Linked DNA regions of Ovis aries. The protein of the gene in region 1 purifies or fractionates together with the protein of each later gene. This does not show direct contact. Links are inferred from orthologs where the notes say so. Each region holds a gene or a part of one and is shown on either strand. Other genes may lie near its edges. The genes, in order: POLR2M and POLR2G.

The links.
Region 2: the proteins of POLR2M (region 1) and POLR2G purify together in Homo sapiens (affinity purification with mass spectrometry; 4 studies listed by BioGRID and IntAct, counting the BioPlex papers as one, with this or other methods). This does not show direct contact. The link is inferred for Ovis aries from reciprocal best matches to the Homo sapiens genes POLR2M and POLR2G.

Annotation. Positions count from the first base shown.
Region 1 is NC_056060.1:50,692,516-50,703,368, forward strand, and holds the start of POLR2M (protein GRINL1A), read right to left. Parts: upstream 9,908-10,853; 5' UTR 9,774-9,907; coding exon 9,661-9,773; intron 7,978-9,660; coding exon 7,330-7,977; intron 4,363-7,329; coding exon 4,158-4,362; intron 3,133-4,157; coding exon 2,986-3,132; 3' UTR 1-2,985.
Region 2 is NC_056074.1:37,612,339-37,623,786, forward strand, and holds POLR2G (DNA-directed RNA polymerase II subunit RPB7), read left to right. Parts: upstream 1-4,758; 5' UTR 4,759-4,837; coding exon 4,838-4,849; intron 4,850-4,980; coding exon 4,981-5,090; intron 5,091-6,282; coding exon 6,283-6,442; intron 6,443-6,963; coding exon 6,964-7,014; intron 7,015-7,120; coding exon 7,121-7,186; intron 7,187-7,286; coding exon 7,287-7,487; 3' UTR 7,488-7,549; coding exon of another isoform or gene 7,550-7,648; 3' UTR 7,649-7,788; coding exon of another isoform or gene 7,789-7,802; 3' UTR 7,803-8,006; downstream 8,007-11,448. UniProt on the Homo sapiens protein: Core component of RNA polymerase II (Pol II), a DNA-dependent RNA polymerase which synthesizes mRNA precursors and many functional non-coding RNAs using the four ribonucleoside triphosphates as substrates.

The DNA.
Region 1 (10,853 bases):
GAATTTAATATTCTATACCAGTACAATGCAGATTTTTTAAAAAACTAAATCTCACCTCATATAATATTCCCAAGTTTGAGATGGATTAAAAATTTCCTTCTGAATTAAAGGTAAGTATAAAAGTGAAATTTTTTAAGGTACTAAAAGAAAATAAGGATCAATCTGTACCCATCCTTGGGGTAGGGAAAGCAGGCCCTAGCACACCTGCACAGGCTTCCCAGGTGGCACTAGCGGTAAAGAATCCACCCACCAACACAAGAGACATGAGACTCAGGTCCAGTCCCTGGGTCAGGAAAATCCCCTGGAGTAGGAAATGGCAACCCACCCCAGTATTCCTGCCTGGGAAATCCAGGGGTGGAACAGCCTGGCGGGCTGCCGTTCATGGAGTCACCAAGAGCTGGACACAGCTGAGCACACACACATACACACAGCACACCTGCAAAGGCAGACCCTAAGAAAAGAACTTCTACACAGAAACACCACCGACTATATTAGAAGGCAAGTCACGTGTTGAAAACAGTAATAACACATGGCAAAATGGACATCTTAATTCATAAAGTAACTTATAAAACAGTAAAATTGGCAAACTCGCCAAGGGAATATAGGAAAGATATGAAGAAGCAATGCTCAAAACAATGAATGAAAATGGTCAATAAACATGACAAGACTCTCAAATCTTCACTTATAATCAAATAAACACATTTTAAAGGAAGCCCTTTTCTGGAATTATTGGCAAATATTTTGAATAGCAACTTGCAATTCTGATAGTTTTATATTGCTAGTGGGAACATTAAGGAAGACAGCCTTTGTGGGGAGTGATGAGTATCAAGTCTCAAAAATTTACTTTCACCTAGCAATTCCTTCTAGAAAGGTACCATTTGGAAATAAGTCACTTTTTTTACAGATGTGACATGTTGATTTTATCATTTCAATTTGCATTATAATGAACACATCGTGAAACAAATTGATGTTAAAAGTTACGGCACACCCATAAAATGGAATATTCTGCAGCTATCTAAAATGTGAAATATTTAGCATGTGGAAATGTTAATGGTATATAGAGCAGAATATTAACCAGTGTATGACTGCATTATTGAAAATATAAATGTATAGATATGCATAGAAAAGTATGCATATGTCCTTGTACCCAAATATTAACAGAGGCCTTCTCTGGGTGGTAGGATTACAGGGGACTACACGTATGTGCATGGGAGCCCTCCCATGATCAGTTTTCCAGGAATAACGTTTATTTATTTTGGTGACTCAGACGGTAAAGAATCTGCCTGCAATGCAGGAGACCCAGGTTCGATCCCTGGGTTGGAAATATCCCCTGGAGAAGGAAATGGCAACCCTTGCCAGTATTCTTGCCTGGAGAATTTCATGGTCAGAGGAGCCTGGTGGGCTACAGTCCTCGAGGTCACAAAGAGTCGGACATAACTGAATGACTATTTTAATAAAGAAGGAGCATCAGATAACTTTAGGATGTGAAATCATTTATAATTAGTTTTAAAAACTAAAAATAACGAAACTGTGCAGGATAGTCCTACATTTGCTTTTTGAGGGAAGGAAAGCAAAAGGGCGATAAAGTTACTCCCAAAAGGACAGGACACAGAACTGAGCGTTCCCTACCACACCTACATCTCCCTAAATGCACTCTAACTCAAATTTCATATATGAAAAGCCTCCTTCAAAGCTAAGTTACATTGAATTAAGCAGCAGTAAAACATCACCATTAGCATTTTCAGGTTGCTCTAATTAATATTTTATTCTTTCAACACTGCTTAAAGGCACCAACATGTTAGACAAAACTCTGACAACATATTTGTTAATTTCTCTGGAGACAACCATATAATCCTTTGAAATTATACATGAAATTGAGATTTCTGCAGCCTACATAAGTCTCTTTTGGGGTGGGGGCGGGGAAGCAATATATTTTGATAACAAACCAATTGTGGCTTTGGAAATTTTTTTGGTTGTCTTATCAAATTGAACCTATCATCTGCTAGAACAATGAAGTCAAGTCAGGCCAAGCCTAACAACAGATAGGGCTTCTCCAGTAGCTCAGCAGTCAAGAATCTGCTTGCAATGGAGGAGATGTAGGAGCCACAGGTTCAGTCCCTGGGTCAAAAGGATCCCCTAGAGAAGGAAATGGCAACCCACACCAGTAATCTTGCCTGGAAAATCCCATAGGCAGAAGACCCTGGCAGGCTACAGTCCATGGGGCCGCAAAAAGCTGGACACAACTGAGCGACTAAACCACCAACAGCTATTCCCTTCACAAACATCAATCACCTTAAGGCTTTTCCTGTTCCTCATGTTACTCCATGACCAGGCAAATCTGGTCATCTAGAGAGACCACCCACCCTCTAGAATTAACTAAAAGTACCGCATATTCCTTATCAGAAGAAAGAAAACATATTTCCTAAGGAAAGACAGAAAGAAACAAATATTTAAGCATTTTCTTTGAGTGTCTTCCTTGGTATTTAATGTCCAGTACTGTAATAGCCCCCATGAAAACATGCACAAAATTATCTAGGCTTCTTCGTTATTCAAAAAAAGAGGGAATTATATCTTCATAATTCATTTTAGGTGATGCCTGGGACAACTAAATAATTCACTAAGACATGTAATAAACATTATTTGGTAGAGGTAAGTATAAAGAAAAAAGCAGTTTAATCACCTGCTTTCATTTGGCTTAGAGAAAAAAATGTGCTTACTATATACTAAAATATCAGACCAACACAGGACATACTGCCAAAATTTAATATAGTGTCATTAAACACAATATTCAAATATTCAACTTTTCAAGGACATGAAAATTATCATCTGAAAGTGGGCTCGTTTTATAGTTTCCTTAGCATAACTTTACAAAATTCTTTCTCTCAACAATGTCTGACACTGATCTCGATACTTGTTAGGCAGTCTGATGTAAGATAATGAGATCTCAACAGGCAGAGATTTGGGAGATGATCTGAACATCCATCTTCAGAGTTCATCCTCGGAGGACTGATCATCATCTTCGTCCCTTACTTCTCGGTATTTCCTTGAAGACTCCCCTTCTGGATTATAGCTCTGCATTTTAATATTTAGTCTTTCAGCTAGCTTCTGTGCTGCGAGCTTGGCTTGTATCTCCTTTAAGACAAAAAAGCAAAAAGTTAGACACTCATACCTTTTCCCTACAATTTTTCAAGGGGAAGTCACTGGAATAGAACCAGTTTCACTGGAAGGGCATGCCCCTTTATTTCTGGGCTCTCTACCGCCCTCTGAGGGAATGAGACACAGTCATCACAGGGCAGGGCTGGAGAGAGCTACCAGCCTGCTACAGCGGTGATCACAGACTTCCACTGATAAACAGTGTGCACTGAGATATCCGACTTCTATGCGAGAAACTGAGCAATCAGCTTGGCACTGCGACAGTTATACACAGGAACCTACTTTCTAGCATGTGGGCAGGCGCACGTGCATAGACAACCCTGAAGAGCAATCTGAGCCATCAACGTCAAAAACCACCAGTGCTGTACTGACCCTCCAACTGGAAGAGTCTTCTTTCCTGGATTAGATTATGGCTTCTAGGCTCGAGAGTGACATTTCAGTGCCACAGTGAAAATCAAAGAATACTAAAAACTGATTATCCCTCACCAAATTAACTCCCATGAAAATTACTATGCAATAAAAAGCCTAAGTAAATCTTAAAGAGCAGCAATGTGCTTGCAGACGCCCAGTGACGGTGTCACTGACTGACTGGCACCGCATGCTCATTCCTCATCTGGCTCACTTTTCTCAGGCTGCCCCCAACCTACTCGAACTCATCTATGTCCCTCCTTCAGGCCACGGGTAGTACAGGTAGGTGGGACTGAAGTGGAATTATTACTGCTCTGCCAAGGAAACCAACTCCAAACTGAACGGTTTAACTCAACCTAAAAATAACTTCACACAGGCATTTAGGGTCAAACAAGGTAAGAAGCAATTCCTCAACCCTTCGTTACAACTAGGCAATAACTTGAATGAACTGAGAGGATGAAAACTAGCTTTTAAAAACGAGTGTCTTGAAAATCCATGCGAACCTAGCTTTTGTGAAAACCAAAGGCCTAGAGTAAATTCTGACTCATGTAAGCAGCGTCCAACATGCAGACAGGAACAAGCCATGCTCTAAATACCTCGTAACTCTGCTTCTGCTGTCTCTGAAGTGCCAGCGACTCCTCTATGGAGAGCAGCTGTGTCGGCAGGTGGTGCAGCGGCAGAAGCCGGGCCGCTGTGATGTCATCAAGATGCTTCCTGTCCCTGCGCCGCCTCTCCTCTGAGGAGACGGGAGACCCTCTCCTCTGACAAGCACTCAAAGAATCATGCGGCTGTGAAGGTAATCTGCAGGAAGCAACCCTTATGTTACACCACCTTTTCACAGACACACATTTGTAGCATTCAACGAAAGTGGTCTTCAACCTTGGCAGCTAACTGTTCTATAAAGGTAATAGTAAGGCCTTTACCACTATTTACATGCACAGATAAAACGTTCCTTTTAAATATATTTACCTCAAAAACAAATATTTAAATTGGCACCTTTTTTGGTAATTTGACAATGCATTCCTCTAACAGATAGCTACACTCATTGCCTCTCCCCTCTCTCCAAATAGTAGAGTGGGTTGTCATTTCCTCCCAGGGGGCTCTTCCCCACCCAGGGATCGAACCCTCATCTCCCACGTCTCCCGCACTGGCAGACAGATTCTTTACTACTGAGCCACCTGGGAAGCCCCCCCAAAAGCTTATACTCGAGCTGAAGCCTATTCTCATTCAAAAACGCCTGCGAAGGGGCTTACTATCTAGCAGAGGGAATTAAATTTGTGAACAGTTTCAGTGTAATGTAGTATCACGGGTACTATGGCACAGGCCCACTGGAACACAGACAAGGGAATGGCCTGTTGTAATGGGAGACAGGATGGCTGGCAGAAACACTTCAAAAAGAGTGCAATCTGAGGAGTCTTGGAATAATAAGGATTCAACATGTAAATGATAGGATCTCTGATGGCATTTCACCAGAGTAAGGACTGATAGGGCTGCAGCTCACAGGAAGCATGGGAGCTGGAGAGTACAGAAAAGGCTGGGGCAGCAGGCTGGGTGCAGGGCACATGGAAGACTTCTAGTCTGCACAACAGGTTCAGGTTTGTACTCTACAAATTGCACTCTGGCAGCAGTGGACAGGAGGGACTGGTAGAATTAAGACTAGGCCAGGACGGAAAACAACTATGGGCCAGGACAGTGATGAGCATCTTCACTTTGACAGGAGAAACGATGAACATAAGGATGATTAGACGAAGGTCCAGGAAATACACTGTGAGGCCCCATGGCTGGCAGAGATGGAAAGGAGGGGAAGAAAGAAGGTGCTGGCACTACTGGCTTAGGGAATATGGGACAAAGTAGTCTGGGAAGAAGTGAGTTCTACTTTGTACAGGACAAATCTTAGGTGCACAGATCACCCCCATGTGGCCAGGTTTCATAGGTAACTGACTCTGCAAATCTGAAGTTCTGGGTAGACTAGGGCTAGAAGAGACGAGGCAGCCCCCCGCATCAGAAGAGCCGGAAGAGCATGCAAGAGGCAGCCAAGGGACACCTGCGTCCCCCGCTACTTCCAACTGTCTACCACCTGGCTCCCCAAAGCCCATCCTCTTCTGATGAGTGCACCTGTCTCTATGGCTCACAAACTTCCCCTGGGAACCTTCACGGATACTCCCTTCCTCTCCTCCCACTTCCAGCTAAAGGACCACAATACAGAATCAGGGTCAGTGTACTCTCTGTTGTATGTATTGACTAGATGATGCTTCTGGTTTTCTGCCTCCTTCAAAGTGAGGAAAGATACCTCACCACACACAAGATGAGTAATTACTTAATCAAAGATTACTTTTTATTCCCAACTAAAAATTAATTCTGGTTTTCTGCTGCTAAGTCACTTCAGTCGTGTCCAACTCTGTGCGACCCCATAGACGGCAGCCCACCAGGCTCCCCTGTCCCTGGGATTCTCCAGGCAAGAACACTGGAGTGGGTTGCCATTTCCTTCTCCAATGCATCAAAGTGAAAGTAGCTCAGTTGTTTCCGACCCTCAGCGACCCCATTAACTGCAGCCTTCCAGGCTCCTCCATCCATGGGATTTTCCAGGCAAGAGTACTGGAGTGGGGTGCCATTGCCTTCTCCACTGGTTTTCTACTCAAAACTATTTGTTCTGGTTTTCTATGCAGAACAAATAGTTTTGAGGTTTAAAAAAATGAATAGTAAGATACAATTGAACTTTAAAGTTTCTATAATAATAAAAAAATTGGTTTAGGTACTTGTAACTACAAGCTTTCAGTTTTTCAAAGAAAAGCAGTAGCGGTTAAACTTTGTATCTGTCGTTGTTTAGCTGCTAGGTTGTGTCAGATGCTTTGCAACCACATGGACCGCAGCCTGCCGGGCTCCTCTGTTCATGAGATTTCCCAGGCAAGAATACTGGAATGGGTTGCCATTTCCTTCTTAGGGGATCTTCCTGACCCAGGGACCGAACCTGCGTCTCCTGCATTGGCAGGTGGATTCTTTACCACTAAGTCACCAAGGAAGCTTCCTGTATCTGATATTAATGTCTTATAAAACTACTCCCTGATAAGAGTGTTATAACTGCACATAAATAAATAATACTCTTTTTGAAGAGATTTTTTTCTGAAGATCTCAGAAATAAAACTATGACAAGGAACTTAGAAGTACAGTTCACTTGCCCCTCCTGCCCAAACTTGTTTTGCTTTTTTAACCCTTTCTCAGCTCCCTTCCTCCTGAAATGATTATATACTTTAATGTTCTTCCAAGTGTGTAAGCCTCGAGTCCTTATCTAGACCCTAAACTCTATGAGGAACAGAATCTTTACTCGTGTGTTGCCACAGCACCTACTGCTTACATACAGTGAGCACACAAATATTTTTTACTGAGAAAGGCCGTTGGTTCCTACAATTGTTTTCCTCTTAGCTTATAGTCTAGTTAGAGGAGGAGCTATGTACAAGAATATGGTTCTGGAAACAATTATAATAAATTCTCTAATTCTATGTTTTATATAAAATTTTGCCTAAGTATCCTGAAGTTTAATGTCCCATCTGCTACTGAAAACCTTTTCAATTACTTGGCTAAAAAAAGAAAGCATTTTCCAGCCAGAATCCTCCACTCCAGCCATGTTCGTTTTACTGCTTCTACAATACGCTCATTCCCAAGTACAAGCAGTTCTCATACCAAGTCCACTGAACTTAATGCAGTCTCCCAGTTTTGGGAGTTTAACAAATATCATGCTCCTGTAACAAGCCTGTTTCTGATGGTACTTACACATTGGTTTTAAATTTATGTGGCGGGGGCATGGGATTTTTGGCTCGCGTTTCCAGCACTTCCATGTAATGAGGCTTCTTCTGGGGCCTACTCCAGAGGCCGGCCAAGTTCTCAGGACTCTGGTTTCCTTCTGAGTGGTGTTCAGTGGGATCCGCAATTGTGATCCTTTGCAATCTATCAATGAACAGGTTGTCTGAGCTGCCAGGATGATCCTCCACTTGACCTAAGGCACAATGCTGAGGGAGACCCTCACTAGCTTCAGATGAGGAAGGTGCTGGGGCTCTGCTGCTAGAAGGTGGGTGCTTGCTCACTGTGTGTTCAGCCTCAGTTGCCTCAGCATCACCTCCGCGAGTCAGATGTTCCAGTCCCTGTTGTCGTGAGGTTGTCTGAGATGATGTGATGTTAGCTACAGACGAACAGCCAGGAACAGGTGATGAAGTATCAAGTATCTGGTCAGAATTCTGGGCCTTATCTCTGCCCCCATCAACAACTGCAATCGCTTTTTGCCTCTCCTTACAGTCTAAGCTAACAGGATAAAAGAGTTCACTTCTTCCTCTAACTTCTTCACGTTCTGCAATGGCAGCTTTCAGTTTGGTGACAGCGTCTGAGATCTTTTTACCTTTGTCGGGCAATTTGCAAATGAATTTTCTACAAAAGGAAAAGAATAGGTATACGTTACATAGAGCCATGTTTTTAAACTTGAGATATACAAAGTAGTATTCTCAAAGGGAGAAAAATCGACCGTTAAGTCAAAAAACTGATTTCCAGCTGCCGGAAATAAGAGAATCATTACCCAAATACCCCTCAAAACAAGGGACTACAGGATGATTAGGGACTATGTCTTGTTTGTCTCATCTATTAACAATTAGAATTTCTGCAGAAGTATTTTAAGCATGATATTAATATAAGACATGCCCCAAATCAGTTTTTAAAGTGTGATTTCCAAGACCTTCCTGGTGAGGGGAGGTGGATGGATCTGCAAGGTCAGAACTATTTATAATAACTAAGGTACTATTTGTCATTTTCACTCTCTTTTCTTACCATGAGTACAGGGGAGTTTTCCAGAGGCAACATGATATGGATGATAGCATTGTTCTGATGGCTAATAGAATGCGTTTTTGTGTTCTTGTGTTTTAAAGATTCTCACTTGTAACTCCTAAGACAATGATAACTATCAGTCGATATAACACACATACAGCAAGAGCTCTTCAAAATGTTCAGTAAGTCTTCAGAGTTAAAGCGGTCCTGAGGCTAAAAAGTTAACTCACTCATTCTCACAGTCAAAATAGTTGTCTCTACCAGGAAATCCCCAAGTGATCATTTGCCACTTTGGCTAAGTGGCAAAAGTTCTTTTTCTGATTTCCTTTTCTTTAGCCATACAATAAATGTGGAGGGAAGGTTACAGCTCACACCCTCTATTCTTTATGACACTACATTCATTCTCCTAATTCTATTAACATTCCTCCCAGTTGAGAGGTCTGTATTTTCCCAACGTTCTCTTCTCTCTCCAGCCTCATGACCACTTCTCCAGCTTTCAATCAAATGTAATTAACTTTTCCATTAACTAAGCTCCAGTAAGTAAAATCAGTGTCAGACTATTACCCTCCTCCAGTTTTCCTACTTTTATTAATGGTGCTCCATACAGGTTGGAAACTTCAGCCATCTCTGTCAACCATATACTCAAATGATCCTAAGCCTGATCTAGTCTCCCCAATCCCACAGCTACCCTTCTAGTTCACTTTTTTAGAATCCCCTTATTGGAGAACTTCTCTGAAAATACCTCCTAGTCTCTTCTGCCTCTTATTCCTTCAAATTTTCCTGCACCAAACTGCTAAAATAAGCTTCCTAAAAAAATCATTATTTTTACACCTATTCTCTGCTAAAATCCATTAAGTCTAACAGCTAAGTGTGAACCAAACTTACTTTGCCTAAGAAGCCACTCTTTTACCCTACTCTTCCCACTTCCTACAGTTCCTGTAAAAAAATGGGATCTAGAGATGAAACTTACTAGGTGTTTGGGGCACTATTTGGCGGAAAGGGAGCGAAAGGACTGGGGATACAGACCCTCCCCTTGGAGGGCCGACACAGGCACTGAGTAAGTAAAATCAAAGAGGAGCTGAAACGCTGGAGAGCCAGAAACACGGGCGCCCGGCGCCCGGGCTGTACGCGGTAGCTCTGTGACTGTAGGCCGGCCACTAGCCCGTGGGCCTGGAACGGACCTAAGACAAGGTGACCTTCCAGGAAAGAGATCGGGATGGGGGCGGGGAGGGGCCCGTCCCAGGGTTCCCAACGCGAGGAACCCTGCGGTGACTTCGCGGGACCCAAGCTTACACGTTGCGCAAAAGTCTCTCCTGGCGCTTCAACATTTCCCGTAGCTCCGCCAAACTCCGCTGCCCCAAGTCCTCGGGAGTTTGGGGCTCGAAGCCGCGGGGAAGCGAGGACATTCTGCGGGGGCTGAGGCTGGCGAGGCGGTGGGCACTCGGCGTCCTCGGCAGCCCCCGTGGCTGGCGCCAGATCCGCGGCCGGCGGGGACTCCGGCGAACGAGCGGGAGTCGCCATTTTCCCGGAAGAACAAGTCTTCTTCTAGCCGAATCGAGCTTTATTGAAACGCCGGAAATAAACACGGACAGAGTTGAGGGAGTGGCGGCCGGGGCGGGAATCGCGGGGTGACGTCACGCGCCGGCGGGGCGCGCTTTCTAGTTGCTTATTCTTCCTGTGCCTTGGGTCTTGGCTTAAGTATTCAGAAAAAGTGAGTTCCTGGGGCCCTGTCCTGAAGGAGTCTGCTGAGTGAGGGAGGAGAGCAGACATTAATCAATTAACAAATGGAAGAATTGTAAGACGGCTATGGGCACCAAGGAAGGAATAACGAAGAAGTGAAAGACACGTGGAAACAGGAGTGATGAATTGGTTAACCATTAGTGAAGCTGGAGTATGTACCGGGCACGTGAAGCCCTGGCCTATGGCGTGGCCTTGCTAGTTCTGGGTTTAGTGAAGACCTCAAACATTAATGTTGGAGGATCATTCAGAACCATCAGCGTTTCTTAAGGCGGCTTTGTGGCATTTGAAGCAAGACTTTTCCTCGTTTTCAGGACTGCCTCAGGTATTGCAAGATATTTGGTGTCTATTTGATGTCTGGGTTTCTGCTCTCTAGTTGGTTTGGCATTCCTGAATCCTCCTAAAAATACAAAACGCACCCCCGCCCCCCGCCGCCCCAACACACACACTCCTGAGTCCTTGTAACAGTACAAAATGCATCTCCCCAACACACACACACACACACACACACACACACACACGATTTCAAAGGCCCACAAGAGGTGATGATAGTAGGAGGTGCTGCACAACAAACGGAGAACCTCTTTTTCACAATTACCCGTTTTGCCCTTGGAAAAACAAAGGCACAAAAACTGAAGTTTTCCCAGGGCACAAAACTAGTAAGTGAGAACATCATTGCTGTAGACACAAATGCCCAGGTGGTCTTTCTGCCACCCCAATTCAAAAATCTTGCAAAGAGCAAGAAAGTT
Region 2 (11,448 bases), on another chromosome or scaffold:
GGTCATAACTTTTCTTCCAAGTTGAAGACTTTTTTTTTCAAGTTGAAGACTCTTGAAGACAGAGTCTATGGTAAATACATGGTTCATTAACATAGCTTAAGACAAACATTTCCATAAGAAAACCACATTGATTAGCTCAAGGTTGGGGAAAATTTAAGTTCAGGTGGAATCAGGTGTCCTCAAGGCATCAAAGAATTTTAAGAGAAAGCTCTTTTTAAATTTCTATAGAGAAGGGGAAAAAATCTTAACACTTGTAGTTTGTTTCCTCCTGCCACTTGAGAGAGAGAGAAAAAATGTCTGACACTTGCAGCCTATTTCCTCCGTTTGGAGACCCCTGGCCTTCCTGCCAGTCACCCTCTCTACTGAGGAGCCTAGAACCAGGGGGAGGGGCAGCTGGGCTGGATGGTCCTCGCTCAGAGATTGCCCTTCAGGGGCTGGACCTGCTACTTGTGTACATGGCTTTGGGAGACATCAGGTGGCAGACATCATCACAAAGGCTCGTCTCTACTGTGCAGGTTGGCAAGACCTATTCTTGCACAAGATTGTGTTCTCCAAGGCGGCCTTAACAAGATCTTCCCTCCCACATGCTCCTTTTACAGTTTGGCACTGATGCTCCTCGCTGTAAGATCTCTCGCCTTGAGTCTGGGCGGTGTGATGTCATGTGATTTACAAAGTTAAGTCATAAGAAGAGACAGATCTGCCTGGTCCTCTTGGGGGTACTTGCACTTAGAACTCAGCCACCACTCTGTGAAGAACCAGACCACATGGAAAGGGTATCTGTAAGTGTTTCAGCCACAGCCACAACCAGGCTCCTGGCTAACAGCAAGCTCTAACTTGCCAGCCATGTGACTGAGCCATCTTGGAAGTGGATCCTCCAGTTCCCAACTGAACTGCCCCAGCTCATGTTGCCTGGAACAGGAGTACATCTTCCCCACTGAGTGTTGCTCAAATTGTAGATTTATGAGAAAAATAAATTACTGTGGTTGTTTTAAGACACTAAGCTTTTGAGTTGTTTGTTGTGCACCAAAAGCTAAATGAAACAATCCATCAGCAGACTTTCTTTGTATTCCGAATGTCAATACAGCTGATTGTTCTCCATTGCTATTTCCTTTCTGTTCTAGCTTAATCTCTAAATTCTGAATCTTTGGATGCAAAGATATGAGGGCTAGGGGAGAATTTATATGGCCATGCAAAGCCTAAGGACCTTGAAGAGATAATAATACACTCAATACAAGAATGGGGTTCAGTCCACCCATAGTTGTTAAACTCCATTATTTGCCAAGCACACTGTTAAAGCTTCCCTGGTTGATTGGCTGGTAAAGAATCCACCAGCAAAGGAGGAGACCTGGGTTCAATCCTTGGGTTGGGAAGATCCCTGGAGAAGGGAATGGCTACCCACTCCAGTAGTCTGGCCTGGAGAATTCCATGGACTGTATAGTTCATGGGGTCACAAAGAGTTGGACACAACTGAGCGATTTTCACTTTGATTATTTGCCAAGCACACTGTTAGGTGCTAGAGATTCACTTACGGATGCAAATACATCCCGAGTACCTGTTGTGCGCCAAGGGCTCTTCTAGGCTTCAGAGATATAGAGGAACAAAACAGCAAGAATTCCTGCCCATCTTGAGGAGGAACAGGCAGTATACACATGAATAAATTAATAAGATGATGCCGGGGCTTCCTGGTGGTCCAGTGGTTAAGAATCTGCCTTGCAATGCAAGGGACACTGGGTTCGATCCCTAGTCTAGGAAGATTCCACATACCTTGGGCCAACTGAGCCTGTGTGCCACAACTACTGAGCCCACATGCCCTAGAGCCTTTGCTTTGCCACAAGAGAAGCCACTGAAGTGAGAAGCCTGCACACTGCAATGAAGAGTAGCCCCCGCTTGCTGCAACTAGAGAAAGCCTGCATGAAGCAACAAAGACTAAGCACAGCCAAAGGAAAAAAGATGCCAAACAGAGCCAACTTCTGTGACGAAAATAAAACAAAGCAATACAATAGAGGAGTGTGACTGCGGTTTGTCTACTTAAGTCAGGGTAGCCATGGAAGGCCTCTCGGAAGTGGTGACTCTGAGCTTACACCTGAAGAATGAGAAGAAGCTCCCACATCCCCATCAGGTGAAAATCAGAGCCAACAGCATTTTAGGCAGAGGAAACAAGTTCTCCTGAGGTGGGAGAGGAGGCCAGTGTGGCAAGAGAGAAAGCAAAAGGAAGAGAGGCAGAGAATACAGTTGACTAAATCTGGCCCCTGCCTGGTAGGTAAGAGTGATGGTTTTATTCTGGTGCCTTGGGAAACCATTGGGTTCTAAGCAGGGGATTGACAAGATTTGGCTTAAGTTTTGAAAATATCACTCTTGGCAAATAAGCACATGAAAAGATGTTCAACATCCTTAGTCATTAGGGAACTGAAAATTACGACCACAATTATAATCAGTTATTAGGGTAGCAAACAAACAAACTGTGCTGACAACACCAAGTGCTGGTGAGGATGTCAGAGCAACTGAAACTCTTATACTTGTAATTGCATATACAGTTATATATAACACTTACACCAGACAGACACAATGGGTATAAATAACTTGAAGAGCATTTGTAATAGTAAACTCTATTAAACAGGAAGTGAGAGTTTTAAGACTCTGACTCTAATTACTATGTGTGTGTGTTTTTTCTCCCATACTTCCAAGCAAATCACAAACACCAGATAAGTGTCCTACAATTTAACTCAGTTCTGACACCATCAGCACAAAGATAACACAGGTTTCCACATGTTAAGATCGCAGCTCTACAAGGCTGCCCTACAAGGCTGCCCTCCCCTTCCAATGGCAATTTTAAGTCAGGCTGTTCACTTTCACTTTTCACTTTCCTGCATTGGAGAAGGAAATGGCAACCCACTCCAACATTCTTGCCTGGAGAATCCCAGGGACGGGGGAGCCTGGTGGGCTGCCGTCTATGGGGTCGCACAGGGTCGGACACGACTGAAGCGACTGAGCAGCAGTCAGCTGTGTTTCTGACTGGGAAAAGGGCGTGGACCTCCCATACTCCATCCGAACTCACCACTCTCCCCAGTTCTCCAGGTCTTCACCAACCCTAGACTCTCTGAACCACATCCACTTGGTTTTATGGAGATTTTCACCGCACTGGCAAGGTTGATTAGTTCATTAGCCGGGTCAGGGAGTTGAGACTGAAAGTTCCAACCCTCCAGTCACTTGGTTGTCTCTCCTGGCTTAGGTGCTTTCCAAAATTCACTTCACTGATAAAAACTCAGGTGTGGCTGAAAGAGGTTTGTTATGAATATCAAGGTATCATTATCATTTAGGCAATTCCAAGGGTTTTAGGAGTTCTGTGACAGAAATGGGGAAGAAGACCAAGTATATATGTGTTGGTGTTTTTATTATAAATATCACAGTTACTTTTGTCTTGTTTCAAATTTTTTATTATGAACAATTTCAAACGCAGAAAAGTAGAAGAAAGTGTAAGAAACCACCATTATCCATCATCTGTCTTCAACGATTATTAATATATTGCTAAACTTGTTTCATCTACGTCTTTGCCTTCTTTAGTATAATTCATTTAATCATAAGTTAAGACAACTAAATTTTTCATAACTGCTGTGTTTAACAACTGGCTTGCAAAGTGCCTGAAATATTAACAGTTGGCTTTTGTAAGGGTCTCCAGCACACCACACCATTGCTCTTGCGGGGAGGCTGGTTTCAAAAGAGGGAAGGAGGGAGTTGAGGCTGTTGAGGCCTGCCCTTTGATCTGCTGTCTGCTTCCTCATGTGGTCTCTGGTGGAGGGGATCCCCATGGAGTCTGAGCAGCTGACCAACAACCTCAATCGTTCTAGGAAATGGGCAGCATCAATGGAAACCGGTGTGTGACAGCTCTAAGGAAATCAGGCTTTCTTGCTTACAATATACTAAAACTTGCTCAGGCAACAGGCGAGTTTGTTCAAGACCCCAGGGACTGTGGAGGCTTTAGAACCAGCCGCCCTTGCTGAGCCTTTGTCATAGGGGCGGGTCTCATGGTGTTTCCGAGACTCAGCAGCCCACAGACTACATGCTCATTCTCGTTGTGCTGAGTTTAATAAAGGGACTATCTGCAAAAGGGGGGGGTAGAGCTGAAGGAACAGGTAAAGTTTGCTCACCAGTTCTACAGGCCCTTGTGTGTAAGGGGGCGGGGGAGGGTGGTTAGAGGAGAGCAGTGACTTGAGGTTCTTTTCACACCGGGAGGGGGCGCTGCCTTCTGGGCTCTGACTAGGCCGGTTTCAACTCCAAACTACAAGAGCCCGGTAATAAATGCCTGAATATGCAAGAGCCTTGGAGTCAGGCATGTTGAATTTGAATCTCGACCCTGGGTGACCTCACCCTTCTGAGCCTGGTATCTTATTTGTAAATGAAAGTAATAACAAAGCCTGCCGGGTAGGGTTGCTGTTTAGATTAATTGAGATAAGGATAGCTTCTTACTATGCTTACTATGTGAAAGCAGTCTTCAACTCTTTGCAGAATGAATAGACTCTGCTAAAGCGCTTTATTTATGCGATCTCTCATTAATTAATTCCTTTTAAAGGTATTTATTAAGCATCTAATCTATGCGAGATACTGTTATGCTTAAGGGAGTTGGGCGCTTTGACGGCTGGACGGAGGGGAGGAGCCTCATGGGTTTCCCCACCCACGACAGCGAAGCCCAATGGGGACCCGTGGAGGCTGTGAGTCCCGCCCACTTTTCGGGGCAGGCCCGGAAACGGGGTTGGAGAGGTTGCTGTATTTCCGGTCGGTGTGGCGGCTCCGCTGCTCGTGAAGCGGTAGACCCGGCTCCTGTTCAGCTTCCTTCGGGAAGATGTTTTACCACGTGAGCAGGGCACGGGGTGGCGGCGAGGGCAGGGTCAAGAGGAGGAGCAAGCGGAAGGCCGGGACTAGGGGCGGCTTCTTGCCTCATACTCCTCCCGCTCCTTGCCCGACTCCATTCCAGTTTCCCCCCAGATTTCCCTGGAGCACGAGATTCTGCTGCACCCGCGATACTTCGGCCCTAACTTGCTCAACACGGTGAAACAAAAGCTCTTCACCGAGGTGGAGGGGACCTGCACCGGCAAGTGAGTGTCGCACCCTCCCTGCCGCCTAAACACTGCGCACACGGCTTTCTATGCTTGCACCCGCTTCCCAGCGCCTACACACCGTGAAAGCTTCTGCTACCTACCCTGGCAAGCCCTCTCACCCTTCCAGGCAGTTAGCTGCTTCCTGCTTTGGGTTCCTACGGTGCCCTCTGTGAAGCTCCATAACAGAACTGCCTTTCCTCAGCCAACATTTGTCATTAACTCTGCAAACATTTCTGAAGCTCCGGCTGTGTGCCAGGACTGGGCCCTGGGAACAATGCAGTGAAAAAGACAAAATGAGGTCAGCCCTTTCTTTATCCCTCATACCCAGGGACCTGGCATGGTACATCTTGGGCCTCACTAAAAGCTTGTTGAATGAATGAATGGGCAGGATAAGGCAGATTGAGAGTTAACCGGAGGAAGGAAGAGGAGTGAGACTTGACCATCTCTGGGCTCTGCACAGAGGCGCTCCGCACATGGTGAAGTAAATGAGGGGGGAGGAGCAGGGCCGCAGAGTACTCAGGTATCCAGCATCAGAGTAAGCTGAGGTGTTCTTTGAACATACAGGTTCCTGAGCCTCATCTCATTTCTACAGCATCAAGACTGGGGACCAGCCCGGGAACAGGCATTTTAATGTTTCTCTCAGGTGATTCTGAGACATCGCCAAGGTTGAGATTAAGGACTGCAGCCCTTTTGGACACTGATTGTGAAATTATGAGAGCAGCGTTTGGCATTATAGCTGCTGCTGATTGTCCTGTCTCCTCTCTTGATCATTAAGCTCTCCTGGGGCCAGGGGGCCGACTACTCCCCCCTCTGTGCTCCCCCTTTACCTCTAGGGTCCGTGACTCTTGCAGCAGATGCTTTTTTGTATTTTTTTCCTGGCTGCGTTGGGTCTTCGTTGTTGCACGAGCTTTCTGTAGTCGCAGCAGAAATGAGAAGTGTGTGGGTTTCTCATTGTGGTAGCTTCTCTTGTTGAGGCACACGGGCTCTAGGGCTTGGGCTTAGTAGTTGCAGCGCACTGGCTTAGCTGTTCTGTGGCGTGTGGAATCTTCGGGGACCAGGGATTGAACTTGCGTCCCCTGAATTGGCAGGGGACTTCTTAACCACTGGGCCACCAGGGAAGCCCTGCTGTGGCAGATGGTTTCAGAGGCTCTTCCACACACAGTGTCTCAGTTTCTCTGCCTCCTTGCAGGTATGGCTTTGTAATTGCCGTCACCACCATCGACAATATCGGTGCTGGTGTGATCCAGCCAGGCCGAGGCTTTGTCCTTTATCCAGTTAAGTACAAGGCCATTGTTTTCCGGCCCTTTAAAGGGGAGGTCGTGGATGCGGTGGTAACTCAGGTCAACAAGGTAAGAGCATCCACAGGGGAGGTAGTGGGAAGGTCCCTCTCTTAGAAGATCTGGGATGGGTCCCACTTTGGTCAAATTCTGTGTCTTTGGTCAGATCACTTCTCTGTGCTTCAGGTTTCCTCACCTGTCAAATAGTATGGTACTGCCTCACTCAGGGGCATGTAAGTCAATAGTGAGTCAGAACAGTAGTAGCCTCCACTGTGGACCAGGTAGTGTGCAAAGCCTCTGACTCTGAAATGAGTGCTTTTATCTCCACGCTGAAGCTTGGAGAAGTTGAGTCTTCTGGCCACGGTCACGTGTCCAACAAGTGTTCAAAACCCAGAAGGACAAGTTCTAGGTCTCAGCTGTTTACTGCTACACTTCCTTAGCTTAGAATGAAAGCTTGGAAAAACAAACACACACATGACAAATTTCAGAGTGGTTTCAGAATATGAAGAACATTGTTAGGAACCAGATAAAGATGGGAGGCTTAGGAGACTGGGGGACAAAAGAAAAAGCAAGGTCTCTCTTTTCCCTTCTAGGTTGGACTCTTCACAGAAATCGGGCCCATGTCCTGCTTCATCTCTCGACACGTAAGTCTAGGCACGCTGGGTGGGTCTAAGAAGGAGACCTGTACTCATGAGAATCTACTGAAGCATCCTTTTCAAGTGCTCTTACCCAGTTTGACCTTCCTTTCAGTCCATCCCATCAGAGATGGAATTTGATCCTAACTCCAACCCACCGTGTTACAAAACGATGGATGAGGTGAGTGGGCAGAAGTTGGTGAGAGGGCCAGGGGAATGAGCCACTCTGAGGGAGGGTATTGGCCTGGGGGTTTCTGAGTGTACTGTTCCCTCCTCCCCAGGACATTGTGATTCAGCAGGACGATGAGATCCGCTTGAAGATCGTGGGGACCCGTGTGGACAAGAATGACATCGTGAGTCTCCTGACTGCCTCCCTGCTCATACCAGGCCGAGCTGTTGCATTCTTGCTACTCAGAGTTCTTGGGGATTTTGTGCTCTTCTGCCCGGAAAAAGAGATGGGTGGGCAGAAGGTCTGGGGCTGAGGGTTAGAGGAGAGCTCTCTGCTTGCTTTGGGTTCATTTCCATTTCTCCTTTCCTCCTGCAGTTTGCTATCGGCTCCCTGATGGATGATTACTTGGGTGAGTTCCAGGGTTGTTGTCTAGAGGAGGGGTGTGTGGGCGCAGGAGGTGAATATGGAATTTAATGCCTGAGCCACTGTTGAAAGAAACTCTCATGTTGTCTGCTTGGAAGACCAAGGACACTTGCCCCCTGGAATGAGAAGTGCATGGTTAGGGCTGTCCCAAGCTCTGGTTCTAACCACTGTGCTTTTTCTGTTTTCGGCAGGGCTTGTGAGCTGAGCACCATGACCTACCTTGTTGGGTCCCTATCTAGGAGGTGTGACTGTCACACTTCCCATGTTGTCCAGAGGCCCAGTCTGGCTGCTGTCGGGGAGGCAAGGAGGGTTCCTTGCCTTCAGAAGACACCTGGCTCTTCTTGTGGCTTAGCAACCACTCCCAGATTTTTGACTGTGCGTTCTAACCATAAAAGGTCCTTGATTTTCATGGAAGTGTCATCTCCTTTCTTTGGCAAGAACAACTCATTTTGTGAAAAGGCTGGAGGGCTGGTGGCTTGCTAGCCCCTCTTTTCTAGGCCTGATGCCTTAACTAGCCTCAGCCACCAGGGGATCTGACTGACCCTCTTGCCAAGGTCTCAAGTTGACCTCACTGAAGGTAAGGCTGTAGCGTTGGGTCGTTGTTGTACAGTCGCTTATCATGTCCGACTCTTTGCAACCCCATGGACTGCTGCTTGCCAGGCTTCCCACTGTCTCCCAGAGTTTGTTGGGTCTTTGATTTTCAGCAAATGGTTGTATCCTTAGAGCGACTCTGGTCTAGGGCCCCGGTCTAGTTTCAGAGAATTTGCCCTCTTCTCAAAGCCTTTAAAATAACCAAGATTGTAGCTGGGAAGGGGGAAGAGGAGACATCAGGGTTGGGGAGGTGAATAGTAGAACAGTAATGATACAGATTGTGGGGTCCCAGTCCTTAGGATGGGCACATAAACAATAGCCTTTGTTTGCTACTCAATTAATATACTAACTGAACATATGAAAGGGCTCATAATCTCATTGGGATAACACAACAAAAATATACAGAAGAAGATTGAACAAACACACCACCCTCCCTCGATGCTGAGTCTTGGCAATACTATTTGCCTAACTTGGAATGTCTTTTCCCAAGCTATCTGCTTGTTTCCTAGTAATCTATCAAATCTATCATTTTTTGTTTTCTTAAGCTTTCCTTGACTTCCTTAAGAAGCAGAGCTGTGTAGTAGAAGACACAGTATTTGGGTTGATACAGAACTGGGTTTTAGTCCTAGCTGGGTGACCTTATGTTTCCTTATTGTAATACGATCATACAACCCTCTTTGGATGGTATGTCAGAGCATTGCTGCTCTGTGTTAGAGATTGTATGTGCAAGTGGCTGTCTTCCCCAGCTAGGGATTTAACCTGAGCTGTCAGCAATGAAAGTGTGGTGTGGTGTCTTTTAAACAAAAAATTAATTTATTTGGCTGCACTGGGTCTTAATTGCGCCATGTGGGATCTAGTTCCCTGACCAGGGATCGAACCTGGACCCACTGCATAGGGAGTGCAGAGTCTTAGCCAGCGGACCACCAGGGAAATCCCTAAGTGTGGAGTCTTAACCACTGGATCATCAGGGAATTCTCAGGAAGTTACAACCTCTTGAAGAGATCACAGGCTTAATAGTGACAGGAGTATGTGCCTGGTAATATATTCAGTCCTTTACATACATTATTGAATTTTCTCAACAGTTCAGTGTAATGTTTTGTCATCCCACTTGACAGATGATAAAATAGATGAACTAACATGCTTAAGGTCACAAAGCTAGTGAGTAGTGGAGTTGTATTTTTTTTTTTTTTAATAGTGTAAAACCATCTTAACTCTTCTTGCCAGGCGTTGGGTGTCTGGGGAGCGAGAGGGAGCCACCTTTCTCCCAGCTGTGGCCAGGGTATTTACTCCTTTCCCTGGCCCCTGCCTTGACTCAAGCTGGAGGCAGATCAGCCCCAGACAGCTTGGATGGCGCTTCACTGCGTCCTGCAGGCCTCCGGGCCTTCCTCTCTTCATTGTCTCATGCTGCCAAGGTGACCAAAGGCTGTCCCTACCAGTAACACCTTTGCAAGGAGGCCTGCCGACAGCCAGGAGATCTGATCTCAGACTCAGAACTTCGGAGGAACCCCCTCTTCCTTTCATGCATAAGTGGGCAGACACTCCAGGGACCAACCACAGTCCTGAGATTACATAACATGTCATTCTGAGTATGACTGGAGGAATCTCAGCAGGGTGTCAGTCTCCTTAGGTAGTGTTCCTATGGCAACGCCACATCCACCTGGCTTTCTCAGCTCCCCTCTCAGGATCTTCCTTTCTAGAGGCAGCAGCATCTAACCCTGAGAGGGAGGAAGGGCGAGGTTGTGTACATTCATGCTCTTCTGCAGAAAGCTCCTTTAATAAATAGCTCATTGCAAATGGTCCCATCTTGGATGAACATAAAGGGATTAATTCACTGTTTGCCTCGTGATGTGTAAGTGAAAGTTCACTACCAAAGCTCAATCTACATTATCTCTTTTAATATACAATAACCTTGTGAGATGGGTATTCTTACTCCATTTTGTAGATACGTAAATGTGGTTAGGTAATTTGCCCAAAAGCAGTATCAGAGTTTGAACTCCTTTTGCTATGACTCCAAATATGCTTTACTCACTAAGCTAACTGCTTTTCAACTGAGAACTGCCCAGGTTCAGAGAAGTGTGTCAGTGTAAAATGGTCAAGGAAGTTTGTGAGGTAGGTGAGGGCTTACAGGACAGAAATGGGGAGAATATGAGCTAGGGTGCCCGAATCGGCAGAGCCCTGGAGTCTGCAGCTGGCACGGGGTGTGTTTGGCCCAGTCAGAAGACCCTTCTGCCAGCAGAGAAGACCCTTCTGCCTACTGAGATTCAGGTTCAACCTTGGGGAAGGGGAAGTGGCAGGGGATGTTGGAGAGTTTAAGTTGAGCCCCACCAAGCAGGCAGCAAAACTAAGGCAGACGCCAGTCTAAAGCGTCAATACACTCGCGTAAATGCAAGTGCTCTGAAACTCAGGAGTAGACAAAGGAATGGGGATGGTTTCCTCGAGAACATGTTTATTAAAACGTAGAGCGAGCCGTTACACACCCAACAAAACGCCGAAGAGCTGTTGCTTTAAGAGGCGCGAGTCTTCCACATCATGTGACCTCTGACGTGACCGAGCCGTCTACTGCGCCATCACGGTGGCCAATCGGGTAGTGGGACGCTTCTTTGTGGGCAGGAACTCCTGAAGGCGCTCGCCGATTGGCTGTGTTCGTGGAGGGCGGGGCCTGATAGCCGAGAGAGGGAATTAGTACGAGCAGGGTGAGTAGGGGTCATTGCCGCCGCTACCGCCGCCGCAGTCACCGCCACCGCCGTCTCGGTAACCGCCTTCGCCGTCCCTGAGCCATCAGGTGAGCAAGCCCTCACAGAGCCGTCCCGCTGCAGGTTGCGCGCTAACCGGCCTGGGCGCCCGCTCCGTTGGGGGCCCGCCCCCTTCGCCGACCACGTGACCCCAGTTCGGTAACCTCTGACCTCCTCCTCCCTGCCCCCCCCACCTCTCGAGCTGGGATGAAGCGCGGCCGGGTGGGAGGATGCGCTTCACGGAGGCCGGCAGAGGTCAGTTCCCACGCCTCCTTACCGGTGTGGCTAGTGGCTGAGGATGTGGAGAGGAGGTTGAGTAACTGGAGACCTTGGTCAGAGTCGGACTTTGTGGGGTGTAATGTGGGCACGTAATAGGGAAACTTCCTTGGCGCCTTCCGCGGGCAGGACTTGCTGCTCCTACTTTACAGGTGGAGAAAGAAGGTTAACAGCCATTGGCGGGTCTCCAACGCCGAGTCCCTGGACTGGGAATCCAGGCCTTGTTCCCCAAACAGTCCTCCGCTCCTCATG